Linked DNA regions of Rhinolophus ferrumequinum. The protein of the gene in region 1 interacts with the protein of each later gene in a pairwise test. Links are inferred from orthologs where the notes say so. Each region holds a gene or a part of one and is shown in the gene's direction. Other genes may lie near its edges.

Region 1 (7,427 bases):
GTTGGCAAAATCTTGTCACATTGTGCTTATGTTGCATAAGTTTGATGTTAACACTGACCCCTGCAGGAGTCAGTGTTAGTTATGGTTACCAATTCTGACAAGTCTACTTTAAAATTCTCAAAATTCTCCATATACAAAAATTAGCCACTTCCTAATGGTGTGTCTATTTTGTGCACCATTTCCAAAAGATATTTAGGCAAGTCAAAACTCTCAACGATTAAAATAGCTTTTATAAATCTTCTTGCTTATCAGCTTCCATAGAAAATACCAGAAATAATTTCTGCATGCAATTTATGCTGCAAATTCCTAGCTATATCTCCAACATAGTGAGCAATAGAATTTATAGTTATTACATTTGCAAATGCTAGTTTCTGTTTAGGACCTGTTCTATCTTTTGCCTTCACTAAATATTATTTGTAAACTTGCCTTCAATAAAAAGTTTTAGTTCTCTGAGCAATTTTTTTTCCACTTAATATGCAACAATTTCAAGGCAGCATCACCGTGATGGTTAATTTTACCTGTCATCTTGACGGGGCCGTGGGGTACCCAGATATTTGGTTAAACATTATTCTGGGTGTATGTATGATGTTTCTCCTGGATGAGATTAGTATTTGAAATAGTAAACTGAGTAAAGCATGTTAACCTCCCTAATATAGGTGGACGTCATCCAATCTGTTGAAGGCCTGAATAAAACAAAAGGGCTGACCTTTCTTCGAATAAAGCAGGATTCCTCCTGCCTGCCTGCCTGCTTTCAAATTGGGACAATGGCTTTTTCCTGTCATTGGACTCAAAGTGAAATATCAGCTCTTCCTGCATCTTGAACCTGCCTGCTTTCGTACTTAAACTACACCATCAGCTCTCCTGGGCCCACAGCTTGCCAGCTGATTTGGAACTTGTCAGCCTCCATAGTCATGTAAGCCAATTCATATATATATATATATATATATATATATATATATATATATACATATATATATATATATACACACACACACACACATATCACACACACATATGTATGTATGTATGTGTGTATATATATGTATATACGTATGTATATATACGTATATATATGGTTCTGTTTCTCTGGAGAACCATGATTAATACAATCATTTATTCTACTTGCATTAAAAAGTCAACCTGTTGCAATTTCAGTCCTTTTCTTTCCACTCGTTAAGTTTATCATCAAATATCTTTTCTGTATACCAGTCATAATTCTTCCTTTGATTTCTTTCATAATGACTTCTTAAGTTGTATTCTTTTGTCATGGGTATATATTACATCTTAAACACATAAGAATACTCTTTATTTTCACACTGCTGATTTTTATAATATACAAGCCTTCAACATCTGTCTTTCATTTTCAAACTTTTGATGGAAACATAGATACAAAAAATAGCTCACTTTCATATTAATTGAACTTAAAAAAAACAAAACACCTAACATTGCAAGCAGGGATAGACTACCCCAACTCGTAAAATGGACATTCTCATGATACCAGGCCAGTAATGGGAGTTTCTGGGGGAAGACAAGAAGAGGAGGGAGGGATTATTGAGAGAGACTTCCTGGATTGGTGATGTCCTGTCAAGTCCCATTAGAGTTCTAGGGTTAGCAATTAACTCCTCTAGGATGCTTTACCAGGGCCTCTGGGGGAAAACTGGGCAGCGGTTTACTGCACAAACCTACCAGGCATGTGGTGAATAGGGGCAAATGCAAGTCTGCCTGGAGGAAGGGCATCTTTTTTGACCTGTCCAGGAGTACCTGTAAGTGCTTCATCATTGGAAACAAGAAAGGGGGTTCTGTTTGAGTAGCTGGTGTATCATGCGAGTGTACAACATGCACAGTTCAATGAATTTTTTGGCGAATGTGTTTTCAGTGAATGTGTTTAGATAACTGGATACATCCAACAGTGCTATAATTGTGTTGATGTAGGTTCAATCATTAATTCTCCCACTTTTGACTGAGTATCACCTACTTTGGACCAATTCTGGATACACCCCAGACCTCTACATCTTATTGCTCTTCAATTTCATGCATTAAAATTTAATTCAAATATTACTTCCTATAGGAAATTGTCCTTTATCCTCTCCAAATCTCTTAAACTCCCCTCAATCTGGGGGAGAAGACCCTGCCAGATGCTCCTGTCACATCTGTGCAAATTATGTACCTCACTTTCTTGCCTTGCCCCACCTCAGCCTTAAGCTGCCAGAGGACAGGGGCCTGGTGGCATGTTTCTCAGCTCACGCAAGAGAGGGAAACCAAGTTAAAAGAGGTGAAGACCAAAGACTAACTGAACACACACTGACTTTTATTGTAGGTCCCAGCCCGAGAAAGAGAAGACTTAGGGAGACTGAGAAGGGCTCAAAGCTTGCTTTGAATGCCAAACCCACCCTCTTTCTAAGTTTCCCAAGGAAGAAGCAATGACTTGAATCACCCTCTCTGAACCCAGGACTCCTTCTTGATATAATAGGAACAACAGTATTCCTCTCATCTGCTGGTTGTGAGGATTAAATCAGATAATGGAAACAAAGTACTTAGAGTGGTTAGACAGTACTATTATTCTCTAGTCAGAAATTTCCATGGTCTTCTTCAAACTTCAGATCCTTGCTGCCTCAACTACTCTCCAAGCCAGCATCAGCCCCTCTTCCTTGTTCCCTATTCTGTCTTATCTTTTCCCTCTTCTCACTCTTTCCTTCCCTCTTCCACTCCTTCCTCTCTGTCCTCTTTCCCTACTTCCTCTTTCCTTTTCCTCCAGCCCTCCATTCTTTTCTTCCTTTCCCTCCTCTTCTCTCCCTCCTCCTTTCCAACCCTCCAACTCTCCTTTCTGCTTGCTTTGCCTGGGAGAGACCATATCCGAAGTGAGAACTGAACCACATCTCCTGGGACCACATATAGTTCAATCACTGTTATCTAAGCCTTAGATTTCTCCAATGGAAAATGTATTTATTGCTAAAAAAAAAAAAACAACAGTACTTAATTCACAGTTGCTTTGAATAAGCTATGTGGGTGAGTACTTAGCAAATTATAGTTCTACAATTTTATGTTGTTGGAGAATTGATTTATCAATCTTTGAGAGTTCATTTATATGAAGTCCAAAAATGTGGAAATATTAAATGTGTGGGATCCACACCACTGTTGACCCTGAGAAGGAATATACCTGTCAAAACGGACTCCTTGTGGTTAATTGGGCCCAAATTCATAATCAGAGTCTGGCAACCATTGTTTACAGAAGCCTTTCACGCACACAGCATTTCAGGAAAAAGCAAGAGACTGGGTTGCCAAGTCTCCTATACTGTGTTCCTGCTATTTGAGTCAATCCTTATAAAGGAGTTCCTGGTATCATAGTTCAACCAACAGGCTGAAACTTGCAGCTATATTCTCATTTGCATCTTTACTGACCAATCAGAACTGCTCCATACAAACAATCAGAATGCATGATTCTGACTAAACCAGACCATGCTATTCCGATAGAACTGTGTAAATTTGGATTCCTCATTTGAAAATGGACCAATCAGGGACCAGAGTGGACACTTTCTCTGGATAAATAGGTCTCCCCTTTGTCTCAGGGGATCCTACTTTCTATTCCCTCCAGAGGCTGTGCTGTGTTTCCCAAGTGCAAACCTGAGTAAAGTTTTTCCTTTACCACACCCCAAATTGGGACTCCTGTTGGCACTGGATTAGTGGCAGTGAACTTTGGTTGACACCACCGTCTACATTTCTCAGCTGGAAAATTGTAAAACATTTCCATTTTGCAACTCCCTTATCCAATCTATCTCTGGCTAAACCAGTGTTGGAGCTAACTGCTCATCCTAGGAAGAGCCCTGACATATTGTGGTTGAAGACGTTGTTAAGTGTGATGGCTAACAGCATGCTACATCACCACCAGTTCTGATTGGGCAAGAAGACGCTTTCCTTTTCTTGGGGAGTCCTCTTTCCTCCTTTGAGGTCTTCAGGTCAGATTCCCCCTCTTTCCAATAAGCCCATTTTAAACAACAGAATGAAGTTCAGGGGAAGGAAAGAAGAATGAGTTCTTTATGAGTTTTTGAAAAGCATTTCCAGACCTTAGTAAAAGTGTCTGGTTCATGATAGGCGCTCAATGAATGCCGTATACAAGCATTTTGAAATCACTTTCTACAATATTTTATAGGGGGAATGGTGGGAAATTTGAACCCCGGTGTGAGAAACAACGTTCTCATTCAAAAGAAGACAACACAGGATTGAAGTGAAGCTGTTGGTTTCAATACACTAATATTTGCTGGTACTTGAAAGTGAGGCTAGTGCCTGCGAACCTTGAATAGTCAACTAAAGGGAGGGACTTATCGTTCAGGTAAACTACAATTCCCAGCATGCCTCAAGGCAGGCCCAGCCCCGGCGCAAACGGACGTACGGGCGGTCATGTGACTTAAGCATGGCGGTATTTGCAGATTTGGACCTGAGAGCGAGTTCAGACTTGAAGGCGCTGCGTGGTCTCGTGGAGAACGCCGCTCATGGTGAGTTGCCCCGGTTTCGCGGATCGTGGTGCCTGCCCAGCTACATTCGGGAGTGTCCCGGCCAGGCCGGTCCTCGTTCGTGTCTCTGGGACGTCCCTGGAAACTGATGCCCATCGCGTTGTTGCTCGGATACCGAGCGCTGGAAACTCAAAGTCAGCTGTTGGCGAATCTAGCTCCTTCTTACCTGCAAATTGAGGAAATTGGGGCCCTCCCTGAGAAGGTGGGGGGATTTGCATAAGTCCCCACAATTGATGGATGGCAGAAGCCAGGGCTTCCAAGTGTAGTCTCTCACCCAGTGCTTTTAATATCACCCTTTTCTGCCTCTCAGGACAGTGTCAGAGCAAATGCGGCAAGCTGGTGCAGACTGGGAGTACTGTGTGGGCTTAGAGAACGGGGAGGGACGTGGGAGTGCGAGTGTTGGAATAATATTTAGAGGGAGGGTAGGTAGGGGAGAACGTACTAGGATGGGGCGAAGGAAGCAGCATGGCCAAAGTGCTAGAATGGTACTCATATTTGAATCCAAGGTAAGTGGAATCCTTGAGAGATAAGAGCCTGTTTAATTACTGGAATTGTGACTGCTGTTTTCTTCCTTCGATTTGGAGATAGAAAAGTTTAAACATAAAGAAGTTTTTGCAGTAAGATCCATTCCTCAGTTCTCAGCTCTGTGAGAGCTGGTAATGATACGCTTCATAGATGGTGCTAGATAAAGCCACTCCTTGGCAAAGTGGATTACACCATTTCTTCTTGTCCCCTTTGTTAAGTGTCCCAAGGGAATTGACGGTCTCTTTCCATTGCAGCCACGAATTAGCATTGTCTCTCTAAGAATACTTTGCACAAGTAGAAAGGAGCGGGGTAGACATGATGATCTGGGTAGTTTAGCCCTACTATTCTTTGATGGTTCCTTTAAAAAACAATTTTGTAATTTAATTTCTCTTGTATTACTTCCTCAATGAAGCTTTTCCTGATGCCATTCCCTTGCTGCCTGAATCATGATTTTCTTTAGAGAGGGGCCATGGCTTTCTATTTATTCTTTTATTTATTTCCTGTGCTCAGCAGTCACTCAGCAGCCCTGTGGCATGGTAGTTACTCGGTTAATGCTTATGGAATAAATTAATAAACTGAACACCTTTTACAAAATACACAAAAGTTGTAATATTTTGTTTAGAAAATTGCCCCGATGTAAAATGTGGTGGAAGAATATACATTAAGGTGTATATACGTTGTTACCTAGTCTGTTTCTTTAAAAATTAAATGAAAGTCATGACATGACAGAAAGTCACTCCAACTTATAAGTCAAAGGTAGAAATTGGTGAGTGGAAATTTTCAAAGAATAATGAAGACAGAGCCCTGGTTCTTAGTTTATGATATGATATAACAAATCAATGATAAGCTTTAGAAATATGGTATATAAATAAAAATGTCACCACAGGTTGATTGGGGAAGTACTCTTAAGATGCCAGATGGGTAGTCTAGGAAAAGTTGGTGGAGAAATTGATTCTAGTTGATATTTCTGAAGAACAGTAGAGACATTGTTTAGTGGCCAGAAGGGGGAGTTATATACAAGTTATATATAAGTTATATACAAGTGTGTTATATACAAGTGTGTATAACAAAAAAGCTTAGAGAAGACTTGGGAGTATGGTAAAGAAGAATGGTGGTGGCGGGGGGTCAGGTGCAGGTTGGTTGATTTGACTGAGTGAGTGAAAGATGAAGCCCAAAGTACTGTACAGGCAAATTTCTCTTATCTTCTGGTTTTTCTGTATGCTCAACATGTAGCACAGGGCCTGATAAGTAATGAATACCCAATAAATATTTGAGTGAGGAAGAAAAGAAGGAAGTTGGACAAACTGATGAGAGGAAGAACCACTATTTTGGCATTAATATACATTATGTTTTAATATCCTGTCACCCCCGTTATTTAAATAGCTTAAAGATCGGAGTCATGATTTTGACATTTTTGGTAGTCATGGTGTACAAAACAGTGATCTGTGTTGATGTTAATAAAGCAAGACCTTGGCCTCAAAGGGTTCCCAGTCTTGATGGTGAGTAGCTCGAAAGGGGAAGTGGACAGTGGTGTCAGGGAGTCATTACTCTGTTTCTCCTTAGGAGAAAGGCCTCTGAAGGAAGTCGGGAGGGTAAAAAGCAAAAGAAATGAATGAGAATAAAGGTGACGGTGAAAAGGTATAAAGTTGATGGGACGAAAATGAAAAAAGGAACTTGAAAGAGAATGGTGGTTGGGAAGGAGACACACAAAGTGAAGGGTGTTTAGTATCATGCTAATACTACATTACAGAAGTCAAACAAAGCCTTAAAACTTTTTGCCAGGCACTGTTCTAAAACACCCAAGTGTATTATCTCATTTAATTCTCATACCAGGCATCTGATAAGTTCCGTTATTATCACCATTTTGATACTTGAAGAACCTGAAACTTCTAAGTGGTAATGTTTAGACTTGAAAGCAAGCAGTCTGACAACAGAGTCCATACCCATGTCACTCTGCAAACTTCCTCCTAGTCTTGACGTCCAGAATTGGGATGGGCCTATGTGTATAGGAAAGAGAGGTTGTCATATTTAACAAGAATGTTCAATTTTTCTTTTCAGTTGGCTATTCAGTTGTTGCCATCAATCACATTGTTGAATTTAAGGAAAAGAAACAGGTAAAGTACAATTTCTGAAGTTAGTAATTAGTTTTTATAATTATTTATGTTTATATTGGTAATATGGAAGCTACAGATGAGCATATTTATTTGCATTTCTTTTTAAGAGCACTCTCTGTGCACTGTTCTTATTTTACATAATGTTGAGCTGGTGCATATTTGTACAAATGATAGTTTTTTTGTGTGTGATGTGAGGATTCTTAAAGTTATTTAATGTTAATTAAGTCACTTTCAATAAGTTAAAAAGTGCATTGTTATTGACTGAACTGTAATTCCAATA
Region 2 (7,969 bases), on another chromosome or scaffold:
CAAAAAGAAACAAATGGGACTACATCAAACTAAAAAGTTTTTGCACAGTGAAGGAAACCATTACACAAAAAGACAACCTCCTGAATGGGAGATATTCACCAACGATGCATCCGATAAGGGGTTAATATCCAAAATTATTGTAAAGAACTCATACAACTTAACACCAAAATAACTAACAATCCGATTAAAAAATGGGCAAAGGACCGAAACAGACATTTTTCCAAAGAGGACATACAATGGCCAACAGACATATGAAAAGATGCTCAATGTCACTAATCATCAGGCAAATGCAAATGAAAACCACAATGAAATCACCTCACACCTGTCAGAATGGCTATCATCAAAAAAATCAACAAACAAATGTTGGCCAGGATGTAGAGAAAAGCAAACCCTCATGCACTATTGGTGGGATTGCAAATTGGTGTAGCCAAACCGGAAAACAGTATGGAGCTTCCTCAAAAAATTAAAAATAGAACTATCTTGTGACCTAGCAATTCCACTTCTGGGTAGTTATTCCAAGAAATCCAAAACACTAATTTGAAAAGACATATGCACTCCTTTGTACTATGCAGCATTATTTACAGTAGCCAAGATATGGAAGCAACCTAAATGCCCATCGACAGACTACTGGATAAAGAAGATGTAATAATACATTTATACACTAGAACATTACTCGGCCATAGAAAAGAATGAAATATTACCATTGGTGACAACATGGATGGACCTAGAGGGTATTATGCTAAGTGAAATAATTCAGACAAATTAAGGCAAACACCATATATGCTCACTTATATGTAGACGCTAAAGAACAAAATCAACAAACAAAATAAAAAAAGACTCACTGAGAACAAACTGATGGTTGCCATATGGGAGGGGGAAGGAGCATGGGTGAAAAAGGTGAAGGGATTAAGAAGTACAAATTAGTAGTTACAAAATAGTCACGGGAATGTAAAGTACAGCATAAGGAATATAATCAGTAATATTCTAATAACTAAGTATAGTGCCAGGTGAGCACGAATCAAGGGGATCACTTCGTAAATTATATTAATTGTCTAACTACTATGCTGTACACCTGAAACTAATGTGAAATAATACTGAATGTCAACTATAAATGAAAAATAAAACTAAAGTGAATATCAAATACCTCAATACTTTCTTATATTGATTACATGTTGAAATGATAATATTTTGGATATGTCAGGTTAAATAAATGTCTTTAAAATTAATTTCTCTTTTTCCTTTTTTAATGTTAGTAGAAAATTTTTAAATAACGTGAGCTACATTTGTGGCTTGTATTGTATTTTTTCAGGACAGTGGTGTTCTAAACTGTCCTTTCCCTCTTTCTGAACCTAGATAACTCCAATTTTTGAAGACTAGCTCAGGTAACCCACTAAGAAGTATTACAGGACACTCTCGTGCCACCAAGACCCTAAGTCTTGGTGGGTAGTTAGTCAACTACCCTTGCTCCTCTGTGCTTCCATCCATAAGAATCTGCTTATACCTGTCCTACAACACATCACAATGTAATTATTGGTTATCAGCTATCTTCTCTTAAACTGTACGCTCCTTGCAAAAAGGGATATCATTCTACATATACTCAGGGCCTACCACCATGCCTAACACTTAAAAGGCACTCGAAATATGTGTCAAACAAATGTGAACTATCAATTCCTGGCCTGAAAGTTACTAGAATTTCCCCAAGGAAAACAACCAGTAATGAAGGAGCCTCGACTTTCCCAGGAGCTCTCCAGTAATGAAAGGACTCAGGTGATGGTGGGAAGTAGGAATTACTGTAAAGAGAATAGCAATGAGAAAATAAAGTTCATCACACACACTTGCCTCTTGCAGTGAAAATAGGTATTTGCAGCAATGATATGGAGCCATGAACTCACACTTGGCATGCCAGGAGCCACAGTTTGGTTTCTAAATTACTTAAACAACCCATCCAACAAAAGAGTATGATCTGGCAGGTTTCCACACAAACAGCGAGAGCCCCGCACCTGTTCCACTTACATAGCACGTCACTACAGTTAACAACAACAACAAATCTCTCTCACGAAGAAATGCTAATCTCATGATGCTTCACCATGGAGCAATTTCAAAGAGTTACTATATGAAATGTGCCAGAGCATGAATTTATGGCTGATGCTTATTTGGCAAATATGGTTGGTACTGCTAGACGTTGAAAAACATGTATGCAAATAAGCAAATCAAAGTTTTTAAGCTCACAGACTTAAATATTTACATTACCATAAATATACAAAGATAAATGTTTATAGGAATACACGCATAACACATTCCAGGAACAACTTTTTAATGTGATTGTCAGGAACAGTTATGAAGTGGCATTATTTCCTTATGGGCCTCGGGGTATGTTTAAAAATGAATTCTGACAGCATGTTAATGGGGTACAAAAATTATCAAGGACATTTCTTTGTACTGGGTAAAATGAATAGTCATAGTATAATAGTTCAAAGCAATCTTATCTTTTCCTTTCAACAAAACACTTTTCTTCGCTTCCTGGAAGCCAGCCAAGCATAAATGTCAGCCCCTCAATGGAGGGTAGAGGGATGGAGAGGAGGACCACACATCAAAAATCCTTAAAGAAAATAATCTGACATTTTTTCCCACATAATACAGCCATGTTAGAGTCTCCAAAATAAAGACATGATAAAATATTCTCTCCTCTTCCCCTCTGACAGCTATGGAAAGATGTTTGTTTTTCACATAGTTTGTGAGTTGGTCATAGCCAAAACTCACTAGCAATGGTATGAATTCTGCTTCCATTGTTAACTGTTAATCTCTGGGCTGAGACTCTAACTCCATATTTGAAGCCATGAAAATGTACCCTACTTGCCATTATAGTTTACTAAACGAGTCACCAAAGAGAAGTGCCAAGCACTTCAGAAAATAATTAAGGTAGTCAGTGAATTGCACTGTCTAGAAATGTTCTGAGATTACGGAAGCCATCAAGAAGCAGGTATCCAAGATTGCACATGGAAAGTTTTACCCCTGTGGATAATTCACGTAAAACTTCCACACCGCAGAGAGCAATATGGGTTTGCCAAATACACACATTACTACATCATTTCATTTACTTTGGTAGACAAAAATCAGTAGGTAGGCCCCAAAACAGAATCCTCAAGGCCATCCCAATTCGGGTGAAAAGCTGTTGACATACATCATCTAATGACCTAAAAAATAGCCTTGTATGTTGGTCTCCAAATATGTAATTTAACGTATACTCTTACCATATTTAACAGAGGCAGAAGGAAAATGTATTAGGCTTCCTATAGCAAGGCCAATAAAGATGAAATCTAGTTTTCCTTTAATTCGTCAAAACGCCAGCCTTCCAACAACTCCATTCCACAGCTCTCAAATTCCTAAACTTGGGTCTTAAAAATAATAACGGATTGCAAGAAAGTAACATTTAAAGGTGGGAGGGCTCCTCTTTCCTGTTGCTCTCAGCAGTCTTTAACGTCACCAAAGGACGAAACACGAAATCCAACTCTCAGACGGGTGGTGCAGGCGACGGGGAGGGAGGTGGGAAGGGGGTTCAGACCGCAAGTCCCCATCGCGGGAGGTAAGAAAAGTTGCAAGAACGGGATGAGTCAAAGGGCAAAGGAGAAACAAACCGACCAACCAAGCAAAGCCGCACGTTAGTTAGGGGGCTCACAAACCGCAGCCCCAAGTGAGCAGGCAAAGAGCCACCGGTTTCGTCCAGGCGCTGCTGGCTAGGCTGCGCCGGGTGCTCCGGGGATCGGGGCGAGACGTCCATGCGAACTTAGCAAGAGGACGGGAGCCCTTCCTGCCCCAAGCTCCCGCCGGCCAGCTCCCCCATCCAGCCTTCACTTTCCCCACCAGGCTCCCAGCCGCGCCCGGAGACGTCCGTCGCCGCCAGATCCCAACTTTCCCTCCTCTGGGGGGCGCCGAGCTACCGGGGCCGCCGCCGCTGCCGCCACCGCCGCAGGAAGGGGCGCGAGGGGGCGCGCGGTGCCGGCGGGCCCCGGGGGCACAGGGGCGGGGGGGCGCAGGGTTGGCCGGGGCCGCAGAGCCCGCGCCGGGGCCGCCGCCCGAGCCCCCGCGGCGGCGCTCCCCAGACCCCGCGCTGCCCCGCCCGGATTCCCCCCAGTTAGCGCCCTCACCTCGCGGCGACCCTGGTTCCGCAAGCCGGCGCGAGAGGAGAAGGGGACGAAGGGGACGCGGACAGCCTTGCCCCCGTTACCTGAGGGGCGCACACGCCACCGCGGTGACCACCATCGCCAGCCGGCCGGTCCCCTTCCTGCTCACCGCGGCCACCGCCGCCGACCAACTGACACTAACAACAACTAACTACTCGACGCCGCCGAGTCCACCGCGCGCTCCCGGCCGCCCGCCCAGCCCACCAGCCAGCCCGCCCGCCTCCTCCCAGCCCCGCGCACCGCCCTCCGCGCGCGCACTCGCCGCCGCGCTCCTTGAGGAGCGAGCCCGCACGCGCGCACAAGCCCTCGACCCTCTCTGCCCTGTCGCGCCTCCGTCCCTCAGGAGGTATCACCGTGAGGCCCCGCCTTCTCGTGTTCCTACCCCAATAGAATGAGACCTAGAGGGCTTCTGATTGGCTAAGGAGAGTGTGACCAAAGGAGGAGGGCGGGACGACCAGAACCTCGGGCCGGCATGAAGGGAAATTTCGGTTCAAGTAAGTTCTAGAGGAAAAGGGAAACAAAGTATTGGCCCATTTGGTGCCGGAGCCTCCTAGGTCAGCCTGCGTCGAACACGAAACTTGTGTTTTCAAGGACTCCATTCGATAGTAATTGCCAATTTAAGCTACAATACTTACTGCAGACCTTAGCAATTCTTAAAAACTACACTTCCCAGAAACCTTCGCGAAAATAAGTCTCGCTTTGCGTAGTCACGTAGTCCTTCGCCGCTTTTGAACAAAATAATCCCTTCATTTTTCGGAAGGTATTGGGAATAGTATTTCATTTTTCTCCTTACCGAAACAATTTTAAATGTTACTGCGATGAGAGAAGTTGCCTATGGGAAGATAGTTAAACAATTACGTAAAGAAAGAAGGATATCATAATAAAGTATTGCGGAGGAATTTTTTGTCAAGCTGCGAGACGACGGAGTGAGAAGAGTGAATGCGATTGAGAGGGGCTCAGAGAATTGTCCTCTGTGCAGGGACTTTCTTTAGCCCCAGGCCCCTGCCTGCCCCTATCGTCAGCAGGTCAGTAAGCAAGGCGAGCTTGGGGGTGGCCACAGTGGGGGTGCCCTTCACCCCTTGAAGACCATCGCTCTTTTGCTGTTGTTAATTGGTTTGTCTCGGGTTGAGGCCGACTGAATGGGGGCGCCTCACTTCCGGTTGGGGGAGGGGAAGAAGGCCGTCCTGGGGGAGGGGAAACAACTCACTTCCTGTGGGGTAGGGGGATGATTTGGGGGTGTCCCTCCCACACTTCCTGTGCCGGCGAGGTCTTGAAAAGGTGGTGCTTGTTGCCAGTACAGCACGTATTTTAAAGGTTTGGAATTGTGTTTTATGTGAAAAGTTAGATTATTCCACCAATTTATGCTCATCTCCAGCCTCCAGTAAGAATTTATGTGAATTTTGTTTCAATGTGTAAGATGGAAAATTTTCTCACCGACAAAATTTTCTTAATGCGCTCGCCAAAGAATAGAAACCATTTGTTAAAATTCTCTCCTCCTCTTTGCGAAATGACATGCTGTACTTTCTTGTGTAACTCGTAATTGTCCAGCTCTGCTCCCCGACTCACGTCCAACCTTCACCGACAGGTTTAGTGTTCTCTGCCTTGACATGACACAGGAACTCTACAGAACGCGACATTTTACATAAATTATGAGGCATGTTCACCTTACCGGAGTGAAAGTATCATACTGAAGTACTCAAATACTTGGTGTTGCCTTAATTGATATGGTATCTTAAATTTCCTAAACCTGTTGATTTTGGACTACAGGGTTTGCCCTGTGCCTGAGAACAACTTCCTCAGACTTAAAAATAATCATAATTGTAACATGTAGCATTTGTGAAAGTTAGCCGAATACATTTTCCCCCTTTGTGATTTAATTAAATTCAGATCAGTTCAACAGCCGTATCTATTTGTTCTTTGGGGTTTTAAAGCATGGTGCAAGAATCAGGAGATTCAGCCCAGATTTTAAGTGGGGGGCGGGGGGAATTTGGTTCACAAAGGACAAAAGATGATTAAGAAAAAAATTTCTGTTTCCTATATTATCAATGGTTTATAAGTAACTATATGTGAAGTGGAATGAACACTCAACAATTTTTATTTCTTGGCTTCTGTTTTCAAGTACCACAATACTTGGGGTGGGTGGATGTATAACGAAGGAATCAGTCTATTTGGAAATTACGAAATCTCAACAACTGTAGCAATTTTAGAATATCAAGTGAACTGTGATGTTCTTCAAGGATTTTTAAAAGAATGAAGCCAGTGTATTTTTTTCTTTTGAGATTGTTACCTAATCTGTCCTCAGAATTTGCAATTATTTTAATTCTAGTTCTTTTAAAAAGTTACTTTGTTTAGAGTTTATTAGAAAATGTTTTAAATTACATGTTACAATAAAGGGAAAAAATATGTTTTAACCTTCTGTAGACAAGAAAGATCTAAGACCCTAAAAATCAATGAGTTATCTTTTTAAAGACTACCACATTTCTGCAGTAGTTGAAAAGGCAAGACAAAATGTCTGTTGTCATTATAAGGTTACAGACATGTAGACTGCCTCAAGTATTAATTAATTGCTTAGAGAGAAGGTGTTCACTGTCTTCTATATTACTGTAATATAGAGGAAAATATGATATGGTCATTCTGACAAATTAAACTGTTAAACTATAGTATTAGGAATTACTGAAGTAAGTAAAGATTGGAACTAAATGAAAAAGAGAAAACATCGTTAAAATATTGATTGAGATAGTAGTATTGCCTTTTGGAAACTTCGGAAAGCAAAGAAGTTTTTTAAAAAAGAAAGCAAAGTTGATTAAATTGGTTTCTGTGCTGTTTCATGGAATAAGTGCAGTGTAATAGAAATAAGAAAAATTGCTGGGGTTGAAAGACTTGAGCAGCTTGAAAAACTGTTCAGAAGATTGCAATATATAAAGCACATATCTGAGAAAGGATGTTTTGTGATAAGTGGTAGTTATTCATTGGTTCCATCCAAAAAGAAATACTAGAAAAGCTTGTGAAAAATAAAGGGAAAGTCATGGAACCTGCGAACCTGCTTTTAATTCTCTCTAAAAGTGTTTCTGTGAAGAGGATTGCTATCTCCCAAAGGCTTTTTTTTTTTTTCTTAATGCTTTTTGTTGCAGTTTTCTTTGCATGTTCTAATAGAACCATACTATCAAAGTTAGAAAAATGCTTTTGTAAGTGTGCTCTTGTTACATCTTTGAGTTAATGAATTTGAGATTTTCATTCTATTAGTTGCCATCTATAATAAAGAACTTGTCCATTTTTAGAGTGTTTAGATTAGATAACCAGAAGCAGTCATTTGGATACACTGTTCACAGAGGTTTGAAATATTAAAGCAGTAAGTCAAAATTCTGTATTTCATCTCAGTGACATTTGATTAGCCACAAAACACTAGACACCATATATAATGCAAAAGTGTCTTTTCATTCTTTTGTCTACCTTTTTTTGTAAAATCATACTAATGTTTTACAACTATAACTTTTTCGTGTGTTGTTTTAGTAGATTTTGCCATGAGGTCAAGTGTTAAAGAGAGTCTCCTAATAACTTGAATGGTTTTTGAATGGTTTTTAAACTTATTACTCTGCAATCTTTACCTGTACTTCAGGGCCTTCAAGAGTGTTCAAATGAGAATACCTCTTACATGACTTTTTGTGATTTCAACAAAAGTTTACTGTGGGCCTACTGTGTGCTAATCACTGTATTAGGGACTTGGAGTGCATCAGTGAACACAGACAAATACCCGTGTTCTATTGGAGTTTACTCTCATTTCCAAATTA
Region 3 (7,882 bases), on another chromosome or scaffold:
CTCCTTTCCTGGGGTCCTGGGGCCTCTTTAAGGGAGAGGTTTCTAACTTCACTTCAGAGGAAAGGCTCCTCCACTACTTAAGTAAGTACCTTTCAAAAATGCTGGATGAAACGAAGTTAAATAGCCCAGTTCCATCTCTAGCCCCAACACAAGCAGGAGAATGACTGCAGGAGCAAAAAACGTCCTCAGAAGGCAGCTAGGGAGGGGGCTGGAAGCGGGGACCAGGCTATCCTGAGGATGCTTTGGACATAAGAGTCTGGGCAAGAGCTGCTGGTCGTTTTTACAATTGACTGGTGAGCTGCCCCCAGAGTCCCTGCCCATAGTGGGTGCTGCTGATGTTCTTCCCAGGTCCCTTTACTGACTCCTGCACCCAACCCCCACCTCTGCGGGTGTTGGCTGCAGAGGGCTCACAGCTGCCCTTTCCCCCAGAAGAACCACCCTCAGATGACTGGAGATACCTGAGAGATATGCCACATTCACTTCCTCTCACCTGCTATGGTTGCCAGATAAAATACAGGACGCCCAGCTAAATTTAATTGCAGATAAATGAGTACCTTTTTAGTGTAAGGCTATCCCATTCATCGTTTATCTGAAACTCTAATTTAACTGGGCAATCTGTATCTTTTTTTTCTTCTAAATCTGGCAACCCTATAGCTGGCAGTCAATGACTGACTGTGGGGGGGAAGGGGTGTTGCGCATGAAGGCTTGGCCTCCTTGCCTCCAAGGCTGGAAGCTTTCTGGTATCATTTATGCTCTAGGGCTCCCCTGCAGGATTAGGCTAAAGCTAGACTGCAGCTGAACTCATTTGCTTAGCTTCTTCCCCTACCCCATCCTGTTTCCTTCTTCCCTTAAGGGTTTCACACAAAATAGCTGTCCCCAAAAAATAACTTCCATGGAGATCCCTGTCTCAGGTTTGGCTTCTAGGGCCTCGGACGCACTGGCTGCTTTTCAAAGCTTCCCGTTTGGTGATAATGCTCCGGGTTGCCTCAAAAGAGCAGCTCCCAGCCTTGCGTTCACATGGGAAGGATGGAATACAGCATTTTAGGCTCTAGGGCCTCTCACCGCCTTAGACAAATGACTTATCTTCTAGAGCTACTTTTCCTCATCTGTGAAAGGCAATAATAATAGTGACATTGCAGGGTAGATGGGATAATGTGAGCAAACTGTCTAGCACTTGGCCGGTCTCCCTAAATGGAAACAACAGCTGCAGTTTCATAGCCTTTAATGTCTGATCATTTTCACTTCCTTTGTCCTATCTTCACAGGCTGCTGACATAAATGGATACAATTCCCGTGTGATTGATGGAGAATTGTGGCTGTGAATGTTAAGGGACTGTCATCCTACTCGGGCTTCTCTCTTGCCTTTTTCCCCCAAATTGTGAACGCTCCTCAACTTTGAGCAAAATCCATTTGGCACCAGTTCACAAGGCAGGGAGGGGAGCTGACAACAGCCACGCGGGTGGAAGTATGGACTCATCACTTTCTTGACTGCCATAGCTTCCAGATGCATAAAAAACTGATGCAGGTGATGTTGGATCTGAAAGCAGTTTCTGAGTGTGGGCCGGGATCGTGTCGCGTGAAGCCGAAGAATGGAAATACGGACCAGGGAGAAGCAAAAAGTTTTAAAAAGAGGATAGTTTATTAGAGGCAGGAGAAGAGGTTGCAGCTCCGGAGTGGGAGGGGGGTCCCGAATGGGGAGTGCCCCATGACTGAGGCAAAAGTTCTTACTTTTATACCGTCCCTTGCCTGCTTGGGGAAGGGGAGCTGTTTGAAGAAGGGAACTGGCGCCTTCTAATGAAATTCGTCTACCAGGTTTGTTCTGCTTACCCATCCTAAAGGAATCAGCAAAGTAATCCACTCTTATCTATCAGATCTGCTCCATTTGTCAGGCCAAAAGGAATTTTATGATTAACCTCAGGGCCTTGTTACATTATGTCCTAGAGCAAAGGAGTGATTTTAAAACCTGAAGTTTTAGGATATGGCTGTCTTTTGTTTATTCCACCAGGGACCTCCCTGTCAACCTAGGGACATGCTAACTTTCCTGTATCAATACGAGCAGATCCTTCCCAACAACTTTGCTCTGAAATGTCAGATACAGAGAGTATCCAGAATGGCCCCGTTTGAGCCAACTGACTTCACCCAATGCAATGCTGGGCAACTTTTATAACGACTGAGGCAGTCTTGTGTATTTTGATTTGGAATAATATTAAGATACCTTGTTAAGAAGGGAAAGCACCCCCTACCATATCTCTGGGGAGACACTTAAGAAATTCATACTAGTTGTTGCTCATGGGGAAGGGGTGGGAAGGAGACTTACTCTTCATTGCTTATCCCTTTATACCATTTGAAATGTATGCCGAAAGCCTCAAGTATCTACTCAAAAAATAAAATTGAATGGAAAAACAAAGGTCAACCAACTATTTTATCCCAAACTCTGACAGCACTAAGAGGATTCAGGCGGTGTGAAAGGCACTTCATTTTCAGGGTTTGGTTCAGGAGAGTGAAAATTATTCAAGTTCTTTGAAGTCCAAAATATAAAGTGTGATCAAAACATATGGTGAATATTTGTTTATTTATGTATTCATGTTTACTTATTTATTTTTTTAAGGAGGACACAGCTCACAGTGGCCCATGCAAGGATCGAACTGGCAACGCTGGTGTTACCAGCACCACGCTCTAACCAACTAAGCTATCTGATCACCCCACGGTGAATGTTTAAATTTAAAAAAATTATTACAGTAAAAGACACATTGCCATTAATCCCCCGCAAAATACTCCCCCTCACTTCGAACACACTTATCCCATCATTCTTGCCACTTTCTGAAGCAGTTCTGGAATTCTTCTTTCGTGTCTTTAGTTGCACTGTCATGGCAGCCTCAAGGTCCTGAATCGATTCAAAACGTTTACCTTTCATGGTCATTTTGACTTTGGGGAAGAGCCAGAAGTCACACAGTGCCAGATTCGGTGAATAAGATGGATGAGGACACACCGTACTGTTTTTATTTGACAGAAATTGCCCTACCAGAAGCAATGTGTGACACGGCGCCTTTCCGATGTGATCAAAACATATGGTGACTGCTGCTGTCAAATGCCATCCAACGGAAAGGCAGGGATCTTCAATACAGGAAATGGTGCGTCGCACCTTAGTAACAGTGGGACGTTTCAACTTGTTCCCTGCAGTCGGGCGTGAGCTACAGTTCAGAGATGTTTTAAAGTGTGCCATACATCATTCTCCATCATGACAATGCTCCATGTCACACATCATTTCTGGCATATGACAATTTCTGTCAAATAAAAATATACGGTGTGTCCTCATCCATCTTATCCACCGAATCTGGCACTGTGCGACTTCTGGTTCTTGCCCGGCATCAAAATGCCTCAGGACATCAAAGCAGCCACGAAAGCGCAACTAAAGACACTCATGAAAGAGGACTTCCAGAACTGCTTCAGAAAGTGGCAAGAACGATGGGTTTGAAGCGAGGGCGGGGGGAGGGTAATAGCAATGTGTCTTTTACTGTAATAATTTTTTTTTATTTAAACATTTGCCGTATTGTTTGATTACACCTCATACAGGAGCTGCGTTGGTTTTGATGGGCTGCAGCCTGGCAGGATGGATTTGCCAGGCAGCTGATTTAGGCAACTCTCTTCCATTCCAGAGTGTTGCCGGGTGCCAGATACTTTACACCACTTTTTTTGCCTCACAACTCTGAGGTAGATGCTATTCATCTCTCCATGTGATAGATGATGAATCTGAAGCTAATTTTGGCAGCATCTGAAACCCATGCTTTTTTGAGAAAGAAAATGCCACTGTTTGTGGGGTCTGTTTTGATTTCCTCAACCTCTCCTGAAATCTGGAACAAGTCCTGTCTCCTCTGAGGGGCAGTGGTAAGCCAGTGGAGACACGGGCCCATCCCCACGGTGCTTACATTCGTTCTGGCAGCCCCAGCCACTCTCCCAAATACTCCCTGCCTCATCCCACACGATCGGTGGTAATACCATGCTGCAGTGTGGAGAACACCATCTGGAGTCAGACGGCCCACTTTACAATGACACACTTACCGTTGTGTGATCTTGGGCAAGGCACTGAGCCTCTTTTGCCTGTTTCCACCTCTGTAAAATGGGGATGATCACAAGGATAGCTACATTAGGATAGTGTGAGCGCTCCGTGAGGTAACATATATAAAGCTCTTTGCATAGTGCCTGGCACAAAGTACGCACTTGATAAATACTAGCTGTTATTATTGTTATTATTAAATACAAGAGCTGTTTCATGAGTACAGAAGCCTTTCTGTTCTCCGCTGAATCCTCAGTATCTAGCACATACAAGGAGCTCGGCAAGTACTTAATGAATAAATGCGTAGATGAAATTTGGCTTACATTTGTAAATGGGACCATCTGGGTCTTTTTTGTCAACTCCAGCCGACCGAACACCTACTATGTGCTGTCAGCCACGAGAGACATTGAGAGCAGGTCGTGTCCTTGGTGAGTAATGACATAGATGCCCAGCAGAAGAGATGCTCGATATAAATTTACTGAATGAACGACTGCATGGATAAATGAATGACTATGAAGCAAGCTTCCTGGGAAAATAAACAGGCCCTGAGTCCCGTACCCCATGCAGACATTTGCACACGCGGTTTTCTCCGGAGTGGGCACCAGAGGGTACTGAGCTCGGCAGGCCCCGGCTCCTGAGAAGGACTCACTCTTGGGTCCTTAGGAGGACTCCTCGCGGTGACGTCACATCCGCGCCTAGCCGCCACGCATCCGGGGGGCGGGCAGACTAAAGCCGAACGTGAACCTCCCCGGAGTTTCCCGGACTCAGGCTCAAGCCTCTGCAGGGGAGCTCCAGGCCTTGGCGGATTCTCGCAGTGAACAGGAGTCAGGGAGGCGTCAGCGCAGTCCCGCGAAGAACGGGTAGGCGGAAGCCCATAGCAGAGCGGCTGTTTTCCGGGACTGGGCTTAGTCGGCCGGCGGGTGACGCAGGCCGCGCGGCCTAGGCCGCATGCGCAAGACGAGAGTGACGGCGGGCGGCGCAGGGTGGCCTGAGGTAGGTTTCCGCTTCCGCGGAGGACCCGGCGGCTGGAAGGCGAGGCCCGGCCGCGGTCCTTCCCAGGCCTCTGTACCAGGCGGTCGCGGAAGCAGAGCGTGGCTGTGACAATGGTGCTGAGCGCATGCTCTCGGCGCCAGCTGGACGCCAAATGGACGTTAATCGAAAAAAGTTGAAAACGACTTAAGTGCGCAACAGTAGGGGATTTAGCTTTTTTATTTTTAACGTCATTGATTTAGTCCAAAATTTACATATGGAGTGCTTACTATGTGCGATGCACTGTTTTAGGTTCTTGGGAAACAGTGAACAAGACAGATCCCAGTTTCTTGTGGAGTGTACATCTGTTGGGATGGGGAGTACAAACAAATGAAATTACGTAGTTATATTAGAAGGTGGTGCGTGCTGTGAGAAGAGTAAAGTAGGAGCATGGTGGGAGGGGGTGCCGTATCAGATAGACACTGGATCAAATCGAGGGGTCAGATTGGAGCGACGCCGTGAAGGAGGCAAGGGAGTGAGCCATGTGGCTGGCTGGCTACCTGGTGCAAGAATGTTCCAGCACGCAGAGAAGCTGGGAGCGAGGCCCAGAGGCGAGAGGGAAACTGCAGTGTGAGGAAGAGCTAGGAGGCCTGTGTGGGGAAATGGCAGGACACGAGGTGCAGATCAGGTAGGGCCTTGCAGGCAGGCGGCTGTAAGGACTTGAGCTTTACTCTGAGGGAAACGGCAACCATTGCAAGGTTTTGAGTAGAGGAATGACGTGACTCGAATAGGTTTTAATAGGCTCACGATGGCTGTAGTAGAGGCTAGTTAGAGGAGGGAAGCAGGGAGAGCAGTTACTAACGGATGAAGTAAAGTGTGTCTGTAGCCATTTAAAAGGCTGATTTCAAAGGTGACGACGGCAATGACTATATAGAAGTGCCCACATTTTTGTGGTGAGCCTGGTGAATATGCCAGGCTGTAGGAAGGGCTTCCCAGGCATCCGTCTTTTTAAGTCTCAGGACAGCCCGCAGAGGGCAGTGCTCTCATTGACCTTGAGGCTCAGGCTTGTCCAGCGAGAGGTGATTGCTCAACACTTGCTCCTTAAGTCTGAGTGTGTGTGGGGGTGAGAAACACAACAAAATTGACCATTTTTTTAAATGTACAATTTCTTGGCATTAAGTACACATATTGTGCAAGTATCACCACTATCCATTTCCAGAATACTCTGTAAATCTTCATTGTTACTGGCATCCTAAACCCCAGGCCTAATCTCATTCTCCTACCTCAGGCAGCCAATTCTGGCAAGTTAGTCGGTAACACTTAAAAAACACCTATCATGTGCCAGGCAATGAATGAAATGATTGAGTCCTGTTCTCCCTGCCATTCTAGTCACAGGAGACTAGTGGTTGGTAACCATTGCCGCAGTCCTGAAACCAAAGATGCTCTTGAACGTACAGGCCTAACACCTCTGTCATTCAGTCATGTATTCAGTAAGTTGGTCGAATGCCTGCTCTGTGCCAGACACAGTAAATATTCACGTTTGTTGAATGGCTGGCTGTAGTTCTTTTACCCTGACTTCTCATTTTCTCTGGTGGTCACTATCTAGGAGTGGTCGGAACTGGCCTGAACCAGAGGATTTTGCAAATGCTGGTCTATAGCGATGTGACCTTGGATAAGTCCCTTTCCTTGGTAGTGCCTCAGTTTCCTGGTTCCTATGTGGGGGGACTAGGTATTAAATAGACAATGTTAAGAGATTGCATAACAAGGGAACCTAACAGAACAGAGTGCCAAAGAAGGCTCCCCTGAAGAGGTGAAAGTCCTGGAAGAAATGAACTGTAAGCTAAAATTCGCAGGATGAGGAGGCACTATGGAAAGGGAGAGTAAAGTGGGAATGGAGCCAAGGACAGGGATTCTCTACAGGGGGAGCAGCGTGTTCTGAGTTCTTGAAAGTTGCAGATCTGTTAGAAATGGCATGGAGTGCCCATCCCAGGAATTCCTCGCCCCAAACCCGTTGCTGTTTAAGCTCAGTCTTTCATGGGGCTGCCACATAGCCCTCTGTTGACCTGGCCTGATGGAAAGAACTTGCAGATCCAGTCAGCAGAACTGCTACCCCTCGTTCTGTTCATGTTCTGTGTTGGCTGAGAGTAAACAAGAAGAGGGCCTTCAGATCCCAGATTTACTCCTTTATGTTTTTACTTTTTTGGATTAAGAGGCATCATACCAGAGGGTCATGAAGGCGCTAGGAGTGGTTGGAATCTTTGTTCCCTTGCGCAGGTGTTCCTTATCTTTGCCAAGCTTCAATGTCCTCCTCTCAAAGATGGAAATAATAATAGCTTTTATCTCATAGGATCATTTTGAAGACATGACCTAAGGCATGTAAAGCATTTAGCACAGAGCTGGGTACTCAGTAGGGGAAAATGTTCGGTGGGGTTATGTTATTAGAATTTAAATAATACACTTGTCTGGCATATATGAAATATAGAAACTTCCTTTGTGTCTGTATGGGCAACCTTAGTTTGACCAGAATTAAATGAGTTACAGTCCTTAGGAGTTCTTTAAAAAATCAAATAGGTCGAATTCTCATTAACAAAGTGAAAAGTAGCTTGTACCTTGTTAATTTCTAACCCTCTTGACACAACGTAGGTGTAATCAGCATGGAAATGATGCCAGCCCCAGCTGCCACATATGAAAGAATAGTTTACAAAAATCCCTCTGAGCACCACTACATGAAAGTCTGCCTGTAAGTTCAGTCTCCTAAATTCTATTTTTGATTACTTATGTATGAATCTGAATAGCATGAAGTTTAATACAAGGTATTTTTTCTTTTGTAATGTTTTTTACAGAGAATTTCAAGATTGTG

The links.
Region 2: the proteins of RPP30 (region 1) and HMG20A interact in binary tests that used the Homo sapiens proteins (3 or more experiments, as listed by UniProt). The two-hybrid records come from large-scale screens. The link is inferred for Rhinolophus ferrumequinum from reciprocal best matches to the Homo sapiens genes RPP30 and HMG20A.
Region 3: the proteins of RPP30 (region 1) and RPP14 interact in binary tests that used the Homo sapiens proteins (3 or more experiments, as listed by UniProt). The link is inferred for Rhinolophus ferrumequinum from reciprocal best matches to the Homo sapiens genes RPP30 and RPP14.

What each region holds. Positions count from the first base shown.
Region 1 is NC_046299.1:30,934,764-30,942,190, reverse strand, and holds the start of RPP30 (ribonuclease P protein subunit p30), read left to right. Parts: upstream 1-4,380; 5' UTR 4,381-4,408; coding exon 4,409-4,490; intron 4,491-7,091; coding exon 7,092-7,147; intron 7,148-7,427. UniProt on the Homo sapiens protein: Component of ribonuclease P, a ribonucleoprotein complex that generates mature tRNA molecules by cleaving their 5'-ends. Also a component of the MRP ribonuclease complex, which cleaves pre-rRNA sequences.
Region 2 is NC_046289.1:100,470,067-100,478,035, reverse strand, and holds the start of HMG20A (high mobility group protein 20A), read left to right. Parts: upstream 1-4,894; 5' UTR 4,895-5,120; coding exon 5,121-5,206; intron 5,207-7,969. UniProt on the Homo sapiens protein: Plays a role in neuronal differentiation as chromatin-associated protein. Acts as inhibitor of HMG20B. Overcomes the repressive effects of the neuronal silencer REST and induces the activation of neuronal-specific genes.
Region 3 is NC_046300.1:52,911,213-52,919,094, forward strand, and holds the start of RPP14 (ribonuclease P protein subunit p14), read left to right. Parts: upstream 1-4,779; 5' UTR 4,780-4,913; exon of another isoform or gene 4,914-5,046; intron 5,047-5,052; exon of another isoform or gene 5,053-5,243; intron 5,244-7,665; 5' UTR 7,666-7,676; coding exon 7,677-7,762; intron 7,763-7,865; coding exon 7,866-7,882. UniProt on the Homo sapiens protein: Component of ribonuclease P, a ribonucleoprotein complex that generates mature tRNA molecules by cleaving their 5'-ends.